2 linked regions of the Stegostoma tigrinum genome follow. The protein of the gene in region 1 purifies or fractionates together with the protein of each later gene. This does not show direct contact. Links are inferred from orthologs where the notes say so. Each region holds a gene or a part of one and is shown on either strand. Other genes may lie near its edges.

Region 1 (7,241 bases):
CCACTCTGCACCAGATTTGCATGCCATTCTCAATCTCCTAAATTCTGCATTCAAGAAACTTGATCGCTGCTGAAACAAAAATCTCACATCAACCCAAACCTGGTCATCCAACTCACATTCCTATATGTATTAGTTAAGAAACTCTTGAATATGTTGAGCAGTTCCCTCATTTTGGCAGTCACCTGTCTCCAAACATTGACACTGATGAGAAAATTCAAGAGCTAACCTACAACTGCCTAGCCTTCTCGGCAGCAGCAATTTGACTCCACAAGAAAACAACATTCCTAGTGCAGAGAGCAGTTATTGCCAACATAATCTTAGACAATGTATCAGTAATGCATCAGATCAAGAGAGAAATTCCCACAGTAACATGTCCATCCCATCCTCTGGATTCATCGGAAGGTTGGTCAAAACCTTGTATCCTTATTGAAGGCAGTTTCTAAGCAAAGATAAAAAAATCTTACAATTTTTTAACAAAGATCTGTAGCTTGGGTTGTGGTTGGAGTTATTAGTTGGTCCTTTGAGCTGACTGGTTTTTATGCAAACATTTTGTCTCCCTTCTAGATGATAATGTCAGTGCCACGTAGCCTGAATTGTAGTGTTGTTGTTCTGTCCCCCTGTGAATTTATATGCTCCAGTCTGTCATGGTGAGCAATCTTGTCTCTGCTTTTATACCATAGTGGTACGTAGATGGGGTCTATTTCAACATTTTTATTAATTGCATCAGTGCTTGAAAACCAGGCCTCCAGGAATTCTCATGCTTGTCTTTGTCTGACTCATCCTAATACTGTAACTTTGTCCCAGTCAAACTGATGTCCTTCTGTGTCAGAGTGTATTGAAATGAGGCACAACCAATTCTTCCTCATTTCAATACATTCTGACATAGAAGGACATCAATTTGACTGGGACAAAGTTATAGTACTAGGGCAAATGAGGCAAAGACAAGCACGAGAATTCCTGGAGGCCTGGTTTTCAACCAATCGACGTAATTAACAAACATGCTGAAATAGACCCCATCTATATACCACTACAGTACAAAAACGGAAACAAGACTGCTCACCGTGACAGGCCAGACCATACAAATTCGGAGTGGGATAGAGCAACAGCGCTTCAATGGAGGCTACGCAGCACTAACAATGTCACCTAGAAGGGAGACAAAACATCTGCATGAAAACCAGTCAGCTCAATGAGCCAACCAACAAGCCAGAGAAAAGAACCCCTGCAAAAATGAACTTTGATACACTGAACATTACTTGATGGTCAAAAAGCATCTACCATTCTGTTTTTTCAATGCCCAAATGGTCAGTCTTCTGGGAAGGACAATGAAAATGTTTCAATGACACTCAGGAGATCTTTTTGAAGTGTCGCAACATTGGCATTTATGATTAGGAGAAGCATATTATCAATTGTTCAAAGGGACAACATTTGTCCATTAAACTGCATCATATGTTAAGTGACGTTTGATTCACATCATCTTAATGATAACAGAACAAGGAAAAGGAAAGCAAATCCTGCCCTCTAGACCCCACTACCTACAGGACACCTTGCTTCATGTGTTCATAGATCTGTAGTTTCATAATCAAGCCTCATCAGTCATGTGGAGACCCATGCAGAAACTTGACAGTGGCAGCAGCAATAGTGAGGCCTTGGGCTTATCCAGTTACACACAAGCTTGTAGCTCAGAAGTAAATGTCAAATGTATTTGAACTCTAATCATTTAAAAATTAAATATACTGAACTTGTTGACTGATCTTATTTACTTGACAAAGTAAAAACTGCAACTAAATTTATAGGTGAATGAAGTTTCTCTCAATTAGTATTGTTTTTCAAAATACGATATGAAGAACCAGAAACATATTTTTGATGCTGATTAAATCAATGAACTTTTACACACCAACATACTAACCATAAGATACAAAAACATCGAAGGAATTGTCATTCAGGAGTTTAAAATGACCAGGAAAGGGCAAATAATAATGCATTTTTTGACAATTTGAAAAATGAACACAACTACACAATAAAAGCCTTCACCACCAAAAAAATCAGATATATCTCTAATGTAATAAATATTCAAGGTCGCGTTAAACTGGGAGATTGTTTTTGGAAATATTTCGGAAACGCTATCATCTGGCTATTATTACGTCAATATCTTAGCAACAGCTCTTGGTGGTGTATATAAACCCGAATTATTTTCTCTTCAAATTTATATCTACAATTAGAAAGAATATCAAATCCTACAGGCAAACTGAAAAAAAAACTTTCGTGAAACTACTAAACCGAAGCATGGGGCGAGGGAGAAACTAAAACACTAGTTCTCTTACTACAGAAACACAATGTCCATTCAACATTACGTACATCCTGTTGTCAATCATATCATGTTTGCACAATTTAACGTCTTAAAAACAATCGCACCTTTTGCCTCTTCTAATCTTAAATCAAAGTTGCTCTCGGAGACACACGGGGGAAATATTCATCTAGCCGCCAAGACGGGAATAAAACGCTAAATTCGTTTAAAAAAAACTGTACTTGCTGGGAAGATTTCTAATTTGGGCCAATGAAATTTTTAAAAACACTATATGCTTTAAAAAAAAGCACACGTAGTGCTTAAAAAAGGGGCAGAAACAGGGGATAGGGCTGGAGCTGGTATGAGGAAAGTGGATCAGCTGGACCTCAGCAGGCAGTCTACCACTTCTTACCTAAATAGGACAAGCGAATTAAGCGAGGATCCTCCAGCCCCAGTGAGCGTTTCCTCACATCCCACACCAGGTTAGTGGGACGTGACATCCTGCCGCTCCTCCTGTTACACAAATAATATCAACCACTGCGGGCGTCCGTCATTATCCACCCGACAAGACAACAAGGTAGCCAAAGACACCATCAAACACCACCCGAGCCAAACCGCTCCTTTTTCATATCGTTGTTATTATTGTGGTGACGACCGTCATGTTGGCAATGGGCGAACGGCCGTCTGTCAGCCGTGGAAATATCGCGAGATCCCGTTCAAATGGACATGGAGGAGGTGGGCCAAGCCCCGCGCATCAGCGGACGCGCGGACGTCACCAGACTTCCGCCAGCAGTAACCACTCACATCTGTCTAAAGCGGGGGCTGGGTGCCGAGCGTAGTGTCATTGGTCAGTGACGGTAAGGGGCGGGTTTCAAAGTGATCCGGCTCCGCCTATGGCTGTTTCGCACCGGCTGTCGTACAATTAGTGTCGGGCTGTACAAAGTTAGAGGTCGAAACGGGGCCGACCGTGAATTTTCCGGGCCCTCTAGGCGGTTTGCTACCGTCTGTACAGACACTCCCTTTCTGAACGGTTGCGGGTTGTAATTAGGTGGAAGGAATATGGCAGTAGCGGGTCTGAGAGCGAGTTATCACCGAATGATGGATAAAATCGGGAAGATGCTTCCTCCCAAGATGAAGCCGTTTTATGATCACCCAGCAGGTAACACAGCCGTGCGACCGGCCTGGGCAGGCGTGCTGAATGGGTTTATTCTTGACGGAAGTGGCTTGGGCGAAAGGGTGGGTAGGTGTATGTGTGAAGGAGTGGATCCTGCTGCTGTTGCTATGAATGTTTGCTGAGCGAATAAAGGTGGGGGAATGCTGCACAAACATGAATAGCATTTAACAAACAAAAATCGCGGCTGCTTGTCATCGGTCGGTCTGGGACTTGGCATCTGCTGTCACTGAAATAAATGATTGTATGGCTTCTTGGGGGCAGAGAGGAAATGGGCCGCACTCCGAGGGGCCTTCAAATTTCGCCTTTCCAGTAAACTGGTTGTAAAGTGGGTCTTGACGCTTCACAGGTTTATTCCCGTGAATCAAGTCCTGGCACTTTAGTGCACAGTTAGAAATGTAGTCGTGTCATTCAGATAAGGTGAATGTAAAACGACTCCGGCAGCACAGACTGGTAAATTTAGGAACCTAGCGAGTTTATGCTGGTAATAACTTGGTTCTTCTCAGAATATTGTTATACGTGTTTTGACCTTGAAACTTCATTTTTAAAAATAAAGATCGTTGCTCGGATTGAAGGTAATTTGGTTTGGTGTCCCGTGTCGAATCACTTATTTGTAAAATTTAAAGCAGTTGTAGGTTTAATATTTTCAGATATGATTTTCAAAAGAAACTATGCGCGCAATTTCGATCGATTTTTCGTATCTCCAAGGAGATAACTACACGCCACTTCAACGGTAGCAGCACGGCTGTGACGTTTCAGCCTCCCTTGTAAACAGAAGGTTAACTTGCACGCGTTGCTGACCTTCTATCCAGTCTACGCTTGCCTCGACAACTGCTTAATGGTAACTGGTGTCAAACATGTGCATCTTTACAAACGTGTTTGGAGTAAAATGAATGTACTCTTAGGAGCAGTTTGGGATCCATCTTCCGAAAACTGTATTAGAGCATTGTGCCTTCTGTCATTTGATTCTGTTTTTTATTTGAATGTGTTTAGCAAAAATGGTTAAAGATGAAATAACAGAACCCACCTTTCCAACAAGCTGAATACAAGACAACATTCCCCCTGTAGTCAAGAACAAAAGCTTAAAATCGCCATTGAACTTTAGCAACATTGACATTCTTACAGATTCTTGCACTTACCCCCCCCCCCCCCCACCTCCCCCGTTCCATTTTTCTCTCGCTCTATTACCTTCTCCTGTCAATTGCATAATTTGGATGCCACAACTTTTCTCTGTTGGGGTAGATAAAGTATGGTATGGGATGTGCTGCCCTTAGTGCTTAGCTCTGAATGTGTGAAGTATTTTAATTTATGATTGGCTTGCAGTGCACTTGTCTATTTGTATTCCAGGATTAAATGGATGTAAACTGTGTACAGTCTAAGGAAAATTACGGAGTTGGATTTATGCTTCTTTCCTCAGAGCTTGTAACTGGCCTAGAGTGGCTGCTATTCTGGCAGTTATGTTCTGGTACTGAAGCCATAACCCTCTGGAAAGTTTGCCCAGGGATCTCTGCTCTCTGAGATAATAAAGTGTGAAGCTGGATGAACACAGCAGGCCAAGCAGCATCTCAGGAGCACAAAAGCTGACGTTTCGGGCCTAGACCCACCCTCTGAAGGGTCTAGGCCCGAAACATCAGCTTTTGTGCTCCTGAGATGCTGCTTGGCCTGCTGTGTTCATCCAGCTTCACTTTATTATCTTGGATTCTCCAGCAACTGCAGTTCCCATGATCTCTGCTCTCTGCTGGTTTTGATAGCAGCTCAGTCTTGTATCCTCTTCCTTTGGCTTGTTTCTTTTAGAGAATGGCGTGTAGCGGGTTTCCAGGGTTTATCAAAAGCATCATTGGCTTGCCCGTTGCTCCAGGTCATCCAGGTATCTTTCGAAGCTTTTCTAATGTTACTTTTGAATTTATTTGGCTATATATGACTATATTGTATACATAATTCTTTCAATTGGATGTAATTTTTCTAATTCCTTTCCAACTTGCCTAGCCTCAATGCTTGAGGTATTCCTTGGATATTGCCAATGTATGGATTTTATTTGGATAGAAAAGATGTAAAGAGTTGTTCTCCAGGTGGATACTTCAACCATCATTTTAAAGAGGTGTGTTTGGATTTGTATATAGCAGTCACACTATCACAATTTGCAGATACATCAAAAATATGAAGCTAGGTAACAGTGTGTAAGCAACTCTGGGCAACTTGGGCAGGTAGGTACCAAGTTAAATTTTAATGTGGACAATTGTGACTTGACACTTTTTTGTAAGGACAAAATAAGAGGGCATATTCTTGGGAAGACTTTAAAAGTGCTCAAAAACCTTTGAGTTCAAATAGACACACCTTTAAAAGTAGGAGGACATTGAACAGAAGAATGTTAATCATTTGCAAATCATTGGTTAGACAATAGGTAGAATCTTGGATAGCTTTCACCAAAAATACTAGGGCAGGTTGAGATAAAGCTTGACAATAATTGCTCTTTGGAAGAGAATCGTTATTTATTTACAGACTGGATATTGTGGGGCCTTTTGTTATGATAATGACACTTAAGAAGATGTCTAACTGCTATTTAAAGTTGACTTTTCACAAAAATGTTCCTCTAACCTTTAAGCTGGTAATGTGAGGCCATGAGTTTACAGTCATTCTCATTAAAAACAGCAGGCCAAGTTAGAAGAAATTTTTTTACATGGATGGTTTTTAGGCCACAGCATAATGATGTGGGAAATTCTTATCAGCTTTTAGAGGAAATGGTAATAAATATTTACTGAAAAAAAATATGGAATAAAGACAAGAAAATGGACAACTTTCTCATAGCCAACACTGGCATAAGGATCTGAATGGCCTCCTGTGATTCTATGGTGAGCTAGTGCCTATTTCACTATTGAAGAGGATGACAAAGCCAAACCCAGTTTTTGTCCTATTGAGCAGTCATGCATGTAATTAGATGCAATATCACTGCATAATCATTGGGGCAGGCAACCTCACCATTTTCTTCCCCAAAATATATATTACTCCTAACATTTGAGAAAGTACACTTGCATGAAATGAAATACTTGTTTCTTGTGCTACAAGGTGGCTCATTTCCACATAATTACAATTTATATTTAACATGTACATTTTTATTTCACACTGAACATTCTCCAGAGTGTGCACACCAAGGAGTTTACACGACTTCCTAAAATCTGGTTCCAGATGCCTACCGTAGACTGTTCTTCATTGGCGTTTGCAGCAATTGTCCCAAGCTTTAGTTTGTACTCCATAAGTAGCTCCTGGATATAGGAATATGTAAGTCTGCAACTCTCAGTCATGGCTAGATCTTTGATCAGGATTACCAGCAAGTTCCCTGCAGATAAAGGAGTGTCTTTCGGAGATCGGTTGTCTTCCAACACCGGTTGATGTTTATCTCAAAGTTAGTCCATGGGAATAGTTTGTAGAGCACAGAATCCTGCATTTAGTCACTGCATGAGATGAACCCTGACAAGAACCACCGTGTGTCTCTTCAGACTTGGCAAGGTACGTTTCATGATGGTAATTGGTAAGGGATTCAAGGGCAGCGTACAATGTCACCAAGATTCCAGGAGTGACTGAAGAATCTAGTTGGGAATGGCTTTTTCTCCACTAGTCAGCTTGTTTGAAAGTTCTGGCCCTGAGGCATTCTGCCATCTAACTTTGACAGTCTGCTCAGGGAATCGCTGTACAGGATTTATTATCTCCTCCTTTCCCTGGAGAGCCTTGGTGACATTTTGTACACACTGCTGTGTGATGAATTTCTGGTCAAATGTATTCTCTCAAAAT
Region 2 (7,588 bases), on another chromosome or scaffold:
TCAGAACATTTGAGCATTTTCGTTTCATCCTCTCATGTTTACCTCGTCTCGGGTCTCCAATTCTAAACAAACAAAGCAAAATGATTATATCACATATCCGCTTCTTTCAACTCGGATTTCAAGACGGTGGCCGAATTGAAATGGGTTGGAAAAGTTCTGTCTTGAAGCAAAGTCATAGTTGGAGTAACGGGCAGGTGGGGGCTTCTCGAGTCGGCACTGAAACCCAATGTATCTCAAGCAGTGGAGTAGCTCAGCTTCATCTTCGCTCAATTCACACCAGTTATAACGCACATTCACAGAAACGATCTGCACTACGACTGAAGTAGAACTTTGCAAGGCTTGCCACTTCTTGGCACTGATTTCAAATAGACAGAACATGTTAGAGATGTGCAATGACTTAGCTAGCTGCAGGAGAATGATGTGCTCCGCAGTGAAGTACAATGCAAATAGCCTCAAAAGGCAGAAAGAACGGTGCGCATTTGAGTTCCTGTGCCACTTTATTCCCACCCTAACTCGACTGATTTCGACGTACACGGATTGAAACGAACGGTTCTTACCTCGGCTTTTTTTTTGGACAACCTATACTCCTGACTTCAGCGGTGGCGACAGTATGGATGCCACTTGGTCTGTAAATTTACCTCGGGAATCCAGCCGACGTCGGCTTTCTCCAACAGCAAATCAGATTGCGGTAAGATAGGAAGGGGGGGTGGGGTTGTTGAGGGGAGGGAGAAGAATTTTGCTGAGAGCGCAAAAGAAAATGTTCAGGAAGTAAAAGGTGAAACGGAAAACATCGGGATCATCCAATGGGGGCGGCGGGGGCTGCGGGATGGTGGCTGGTGTGATTTTAACTTATTCTTCGGAAACTGACCAGATCCGGTGGAACGCCGATTTTACGCACCACCAGTTCCGTTCTATTGGTATAAATGGAGAGGAATATTGGGCGAGACTTACAACTCGAGTCTCGCCTGATTGTGCGGGTTCCTCGCCCATTGGCGAGTTGTCAAAATTACTGTTGAGTATCGCGTTGAACAGTTGAATCAAGTTTCGCTCGTCTGCAGGTTTATATCGAAAAAATCTTTGTGACTGTGAGATGCAGAACATTTGAAATTGGTTAACGTTTTGCAAACCACATGTAGCTCATTTGGAATGCTTAACTGCCATGTAAAATTTTAAAGCCAGAACTCCCAGAATATTGGACGAGAGAATTTTTTTTAAAAAAGGTCTCGTTTAAAATTCTATGTTTAAACGAACGCACGGCGTTTGTTTAACGTGCCCCGTTTTTATGATTGAGGTGAACGGATCAAAAACTAAATGTCTCCAATTAGATACAGACCAGATTTGAGGAATCAGTGGGTGGCAGTAGGTACCACGGAGAGAAGGTAAGTGATTGGCATAGACGAGAGATCTTATGATGGAACAGAAGATGAGATATTTTTAACTGCTTGAAGGGGTTCTTCCCAAAATGGGGAAATCAGTCTTGTCTGAAGACTCCTCCTGTCAGAGGTTTAAATTAGCCAGGAGAGAGTGTGGAGTTTGAAGACATCAGCAAGTTGAGATGGCTTGGCTGTACTCTTCGGTTCACTCGATACACTGTCACAGTGAGTGGTTCAAATATCTGACTGAACTCATTAAACAGAAACAACCAAACACCACGATGCAAATAATCATTTCACTGCGCATTCTACTTTCCCCTCTAATACAAATAAAGGCGATTGTCAACAGTTTTTAGTCGGAGTAGTGCACGCGCCTTGTCATCTAAAGTCGGCGACAGTTTGTTCGGAATTATTCCCGGGAGTTTGAGAGCTCCGGGTGACTCTGCACACGCTCCGTTGAAACACATACGTGTGTAACCTGGGAACGTGTGTCCGCGTTTCTCCTCGTGCTTTGCTGCAAGCATTTCCAAATCCGCCAGCCCATTAAAGGTCGAGAAGGCGGAAAACTCGGAGCTCCCTGATGAGCGACGGCCTTAATCCAGAAACTTTAGCCACAGGAATGTGCCTCGTAAGTGAAGAAGACCCCCTTTCACTCTATTTATAACGCGAATCTTCCGCTTTTTATCCGTTTCGTTCCCTCTTGCAGGTACTAGAGGTCGGCGAGAGCTCTTGAGGAACCGTGCTCACAATTCACGGAGAAATTCACAGAGAGAAACAAACAAAAACGGGAAGCGATCTCTTACTTTGTAACATCATTTTGCTTGTTTATTTTTGTTTGTGGCAGTTAAGGCGTCGACAGTAGCAACGTTGATTCGCGAGTTGTACTAATCTGAAGGTTTATTTTGTTTACTCTGGTGGCACCTGGCGTTTTCACGCTATAGCTGTCAAATGATGTTAGCAAAAGCATATCCTTAAAATAAATTTCCCTTTTTTATACCAGATAGCTACATCTCTGAATTTTTAATGTATTTTTTAAAGAAAAAGGTGGAAGGCACATTGTGCATTTTCTTCCCTTTGCAAACATTTTATATCATGACTATGTCCAATTGCAAGGTATTGTTTTTCCACCTCTAAAACAAAACCCCATAGCAATATCCAGGCTACTTTGTTGAATTCTCGCCGTGAGTCCCTGCTGTTTCCGCATTTGCTGGTTTTCCGGAACTCGCTAGCAGGTAATATGGTTTTGTTGTTGAAGACGCGCGACACCAAGTACCGTGTACCGTTACTTTTTGTTTTGCTTCGTTTGGCTATAATGTACTTTCCACCTTTTATTTTAAAGTAGCTGTTGAACTTTAAAAAAAGAAATTGGACATCTCGAATTGTGCACGGAGACACTGTTCGCCGATTTAAATATATATATATATCTTACTCTATCTTATTATATGCGCTACAGGAGCGAAGCGGGATGATATCAGCATGACGCTGGAATTAATGAAACAACACATTGGAAACATGAATTTAATGTGTATGCTTACCATTGTCCTGGCTTATTAGGGCGCCACAGAAACTCAGGTTAAATTGAAACGCCTCTCCTCCACAACTCCTACTAGAAAGCTAATCTTTTTTCTCCTCAGCTTTTAACTTGCCCTCTTTCTTTAATTGGCCGAATATCCAGTGAGATTTCAGCATCTCTGACCTGGCTTGTAGAAAAACCAATAGTGAGATTGCGAGGTGGGCACGTGTCCTCTTTTTACAACCGGGCGAGGGTGGGCTCTGTCCGAAACAAGCTATATAAAGGGACTGATCGAGGCCCCTCAGGTATGCGATAGATCCAGTTTGTTCGTTAACTGCCCGTCATTATTTAACTACAAAACATTTGATGATAATAGCTATTCTCGGGGCCACGTGGAGCACTGTACTCATCCTGAAATGACTCAGTATCTTGGTCATGTACAAAGATCGACCCCACTTCGGGCCCCGAGATCAACAGTGTCCCGGATCAATCGCTGGTGTTTGAACCAGATATCTCAATGATAGGCTTTTCTTCCCGTAACTAAATCCTGGAAGTAGCAGTGTTTGAATGGGCAAATCGACACTTCGATCTTTTTATTCCAATAACAATTTTGAAAGCTGGAGAGAGTCCTTTTCTAGGGGCCATTCCAGGTTAAACCTTTACTTTTCTGTTGGATCGTTCATACCCATGCAGCGGCCGTCTATGGCTGCGTTTAACAGTTGAAAGAATTTTAATAGGAATCCCTGCGATTACGTAAAGTCAAAATGCTGTGGCTGCTGGAAGCCAGGAACTGCTAGGAATTCTGAGCGGCTCTGGCCAAATGTTTGGACAATTGGAATGAGTTTCAGGTCCTGCTGTCACGAAATCGGCCTGTTTAACAAATCAAATCAGTCATCAGATTCAAAACGAGCCAAACAGTATCCAAATGCAAACGAAGCCCAATTCTTCCTCAGCATGGAATTCAGGGTGAGTAAGCGAGATTGGAACAAGTCCAATCCTATGAAAATGCCACGTCGGAGCTGGAAAGGCACCTTAATGGCGACGTTTAAATAATCATTTGCTATATTGCTGTATTTGCCTTCAACCAATAAACGTAGCATTTGCATCCATACAGCACATTGCTTGACTTCGCAAAATATATTGATGCACTGTACTTTGGAAGCACAGTTAGTGTTGTAATTTGGGAAAGTGGCTATCAGCTTGTAGAAATCCCACAAACAAGAAGATAGTGATATTGATAGTGGAATAAGGCTACTGGAACAAATCACAAACAAAAACAGAAATTTCTGGAAAAGCTTAGCAGATCTGGCAGTATTTGTGAAGAGAAATCAATTTTAGGCCATTCCTCAGAAAGGTCATCAGACCCGAAACGTTAACTCTGATTTCTCTTCACAGATGCTGCCAGACCTGCTGAGTTTATGCAGCAATTTCACTTTTCATTTCTGATTTATGGGATCCACAGGGTTTTTTTTGGTTTTTATTTACTGGAGCTAATTCCCCTGCTCTTCACAACAACAGTCAGAAGTCACACTACACCAGGTTGAAATCACAAGCTTTCAGAGCCTAGCCCCTTCATCAGGTGATGTGAGAGAGTAGCACACAGTCACAGAATTTATAGGCAGAGAGATCGAGGGTGGAGAGATCAAATAATCATATAAATGGCATGAGTGGAGGCTCGAGTAATAAGTCTCTGCAGATGATCAAAAGTGTCAGACAGTCTGAGTAATGTGTCAGCAGCTGAATAATAAGTGAAGGGATGACTTATAATCCAATTAAATGAGGCAGAGATATAATTACAAAAAAAAATTAATATCAGGTGGTGCTGGAGACAAACCAAATGACTGGAAAAACATGATAGGTATAAGAGTTGCATGCCGCGGGTGTAACCAAATTAATAAGTAATCCAAAACTGTACAGAATAATTAAGGTAGAGAGAACATAACAACTTATTAAGGTGATGGTGTCAAAACAGCAATAGGGTCACCAGGCCCAAATGTTAGCTCTGATTTCTCTTCACAGATGCTGCCAGACCTGCTGAGCTTTTCCAGAAACTTCTGTTTTTGTTTCCAGTAGGGTGTTATACATTCACTAGAGGTGGCAGCCAGATTCTCAGTGTAGAATCTCATCTGAAAGAAAGCAACCCCGTCACCACCTCCCAAACATTGCTCTGGGGTATCAAATTGATTTTGTGTTTTATATTAAGGATCTGAAATGAGATCTGAACCTTGAACCTTTGATGCAAAGGTGAATGTGCGACAAACTGAAGCTGAGCTAACACCAAAGCAATGAGGTTTTCCACAGAATAGTACTGAAAATTCAAACTGTCAGACATGTTGGGTGAAATGTAATTTTTTGTTTGTGTGGAGGAGTCGGGGAGGGCAGTTGGGGAAATGGCAGTTGTGGTGGTTAAGTATAGCATGCCCATCATATGATTGGTAAAAATGTTGCTCGTATTTATTTTACACATTATCATTTTATGTTTCAGAACCAAGCCAAAGTCTGTCTTTATATTGAACACATTTTTCTTACAAGATATCGACTCAATTCTTTAAATTTCAATACTGTTTATTTCATTTCAATCAGTAGTTCATGTCCCTTCACATACATGCCCACACTTTTATTAACTGTTTAAAAGATCAGAAGAAATCTTAGATAATTGTATCATTTTTGCATTTTGTGCATTGACATTTTCAAATCCAAATGAAGAAATCACCAACAGTCTCTCAGATAGAAATGATCCCATTACGGGTGTATTTGTATATATTTGGTGTATCCTATCTTTTCTTCTATGATGGGCAAACTTATATTTATCCATTGCATATCTGTATATTGCTGGGAATGTCTTATAAGGGTATATCTGTTTGATATATGATACTTATGCCTAAACTTGTCTTTGAGGAGTTTATTTGCACATTTTTATTAGGAATATACCTGCCCTTGAGCTTTTGTTCATTCATGGAATGAGGGCGTCACTGGCTAGGCAGCATTTATTGCCAATTCCTAATTGCCCAGAGGGCTGGTAAGAGTCACCTACATTGCTGTGGGTCTGGAGTCATGTGCAGGCAAGTCCAGGTAAGGATTGCAGTTTCCTTCCCTAAAAGACGTTGGTGAACCAAGGGGTTTTCTTTCAATGGATTCACAGTCATCATTAGTTTCTTAATTCCAGATATTTATTGAATTCAATTTCCACCATCTGCTGTGGCGAGATTCAAATCCAAGTCCCCAGAACATTATCTAAATCTCTGAATTAACAATCTAGCGATAATACCACTAGGCCATTGCCTCCCCTATGTGTGGCAAATATAACTAACTATATCTGGCTGTGAAGATTTTTTCTGCATTAGATAGTGACAGGTATATTTGTAATTGTAAGTAATAAGGATTTCAGTGCATACCTGTAATGGACAGTTTTAATAATTTTATGTGGAAGAATATATCTTTTTTTCTGTTATCTGTAAACTGTGTTTGTCTGATTTTGGGTATACGTTACCTCTCTAAGATTAGCATAATTTTACTTCTCTATGGCTAGTGTACCTGTGTATGTCTATGTTGTTTTTTGTTTCATGTCTTTACAGGTGTACCTGTATTTGGCTGTGATAGATATACCTACATTTGCTAACTGCAAGTCTACCTGTATATTTCTGTGATGTATATATAAGTATTTGTCTTTGACACAGGTACATGTTTGTGATGGGTATGTCTGTTTTATTTGTGACAGGGTAAACCTGTATTTATGCATGACATGTGTACCCCTAATGTTCATTATAGTCTGATCTATATTTGTCTGTAATGGGTTCCTGTATTTCTTGTAATAAATTATGTTCCCAGATCTGCCAGTTATGGGATCTATAGATGTGATGTGATGGGTATATTTGTATTAATATTGAGGTGGTACCTATGTTTTTCAGTGGTGTGCACATGTATTCGATTATGACATGCATACTACTTTCTGTCTTTGGCTATACTGCTAATTGCCTATGACCTGTTTGCTTGTATTTGATATTGCAGGTTATTTTGTATTTTTGTGTGAATTTTTACTTGTTATTATTCCTTAATTATATGCTTGTATTTGTCTATGACATGTATGCCAGTACAGGTGTATTTGCATTTTCCAACATGTTTGTATATATATATTTGCTGCTACGTTTGTATGGCTTTTTTTTGGCTGCATACCTGAATTTTCCTACTAATGGTGTGATTGTATATGCATCAAAACAATTATAATTGTACTTGTGGTCTGATTTTTAAAATAACATTACATTACAGCCAACGCAGAACAAGAGTAATCAGGTTGTTCCCACTCTTGAGTCTCAATCTTTACATTAGACAGATGTCAACTCAAACATTTCTGCATAACAAACAAAATAATCTTTCTGCAGAATATTGCCATAACTTTACCACTTAGCACACAAAACGATAATAAGTGAACAAACAATATCTTGACTTTCATCCTAAGACAGGAAATTTAGTCTTTAGTTTAATCAAATTAGATTACAATTTATGTATTTATTGATCCAGTACTTTCATGTGTGAACAAGATATCAGGAACTAAAGTCAATTTTCAAGCCTGGTTTCTTGTTACAAGCAGCTGCCATGCATTTTAGAGATACTTTTCAAAGGAGATAAGTCCGGAATGTTTGAGAGGACAGGCGGTGAGTGAAAGGGAATTCACTGCTGACAGTGTGATGGTTGATGACAGCTG

Evidence for each region.
Region 2: the proteins of dcaf6 (region 1) and troponin C, skeletal muscle-like purify together in Homo sapiens (affinity purification with mass spectrometry; 3 studies listed by BioGRID and IntAct, with this or other methods). This does not show direct contact. The link is inferred for Stegostoma tigrinum from reciprocal best matches to the Homo sapiens genes DCAF6 and TNNC2.

Annotation. Positions count from the first base shown.
Region 1 is NC_081365.1:41,497,607-41,504,847, reverse strand, and holds the start of dcaf6 (DDB1- and CUL4-associated factor 6), read right to left. Parts: upstream 3,010-7,241; 5' UTR 2,785-3,009; coding exon 2,697-2,784; intron 2,435-2,696; exon of another isoform or gene 2,413-2,434; intron 1-2,412. Other genes in the region: mpc2b (mitochondrial pyruvate carrier 2b), read left to right, coding at 3,344-3,443. UniProt on the Homo sapiens protein: Ligand-dependent coactivator of nuclear receptors. Enhance transcriptional activity of the nuclear receptors NR3C1 and AR. May function as a substrate receptor for CUL4-DDB1 E3 ubiquitin-protein ligase complex.
Region 2 is NC_081372.1:51,804,240-51,811,827, reverse strand, and holds the start of troponin C, skeletal muscle-like, read right to left. Parts: upstream 3,018-7,588; 5' UTR 2,912-3,017; coding exon 2,909-2,911; intron 636-2,908; exon of another isoform or gene 558-635; intron 1-557. UniProt on the Homo sapiens protein: Troponin is the central regulatory protein of striated muscle contraction. Tn consists of three components: Tn-I which is the inhibitor of actomyosin ATPase, Tn-T which contains the binding site for tropomyosin and Tn-C.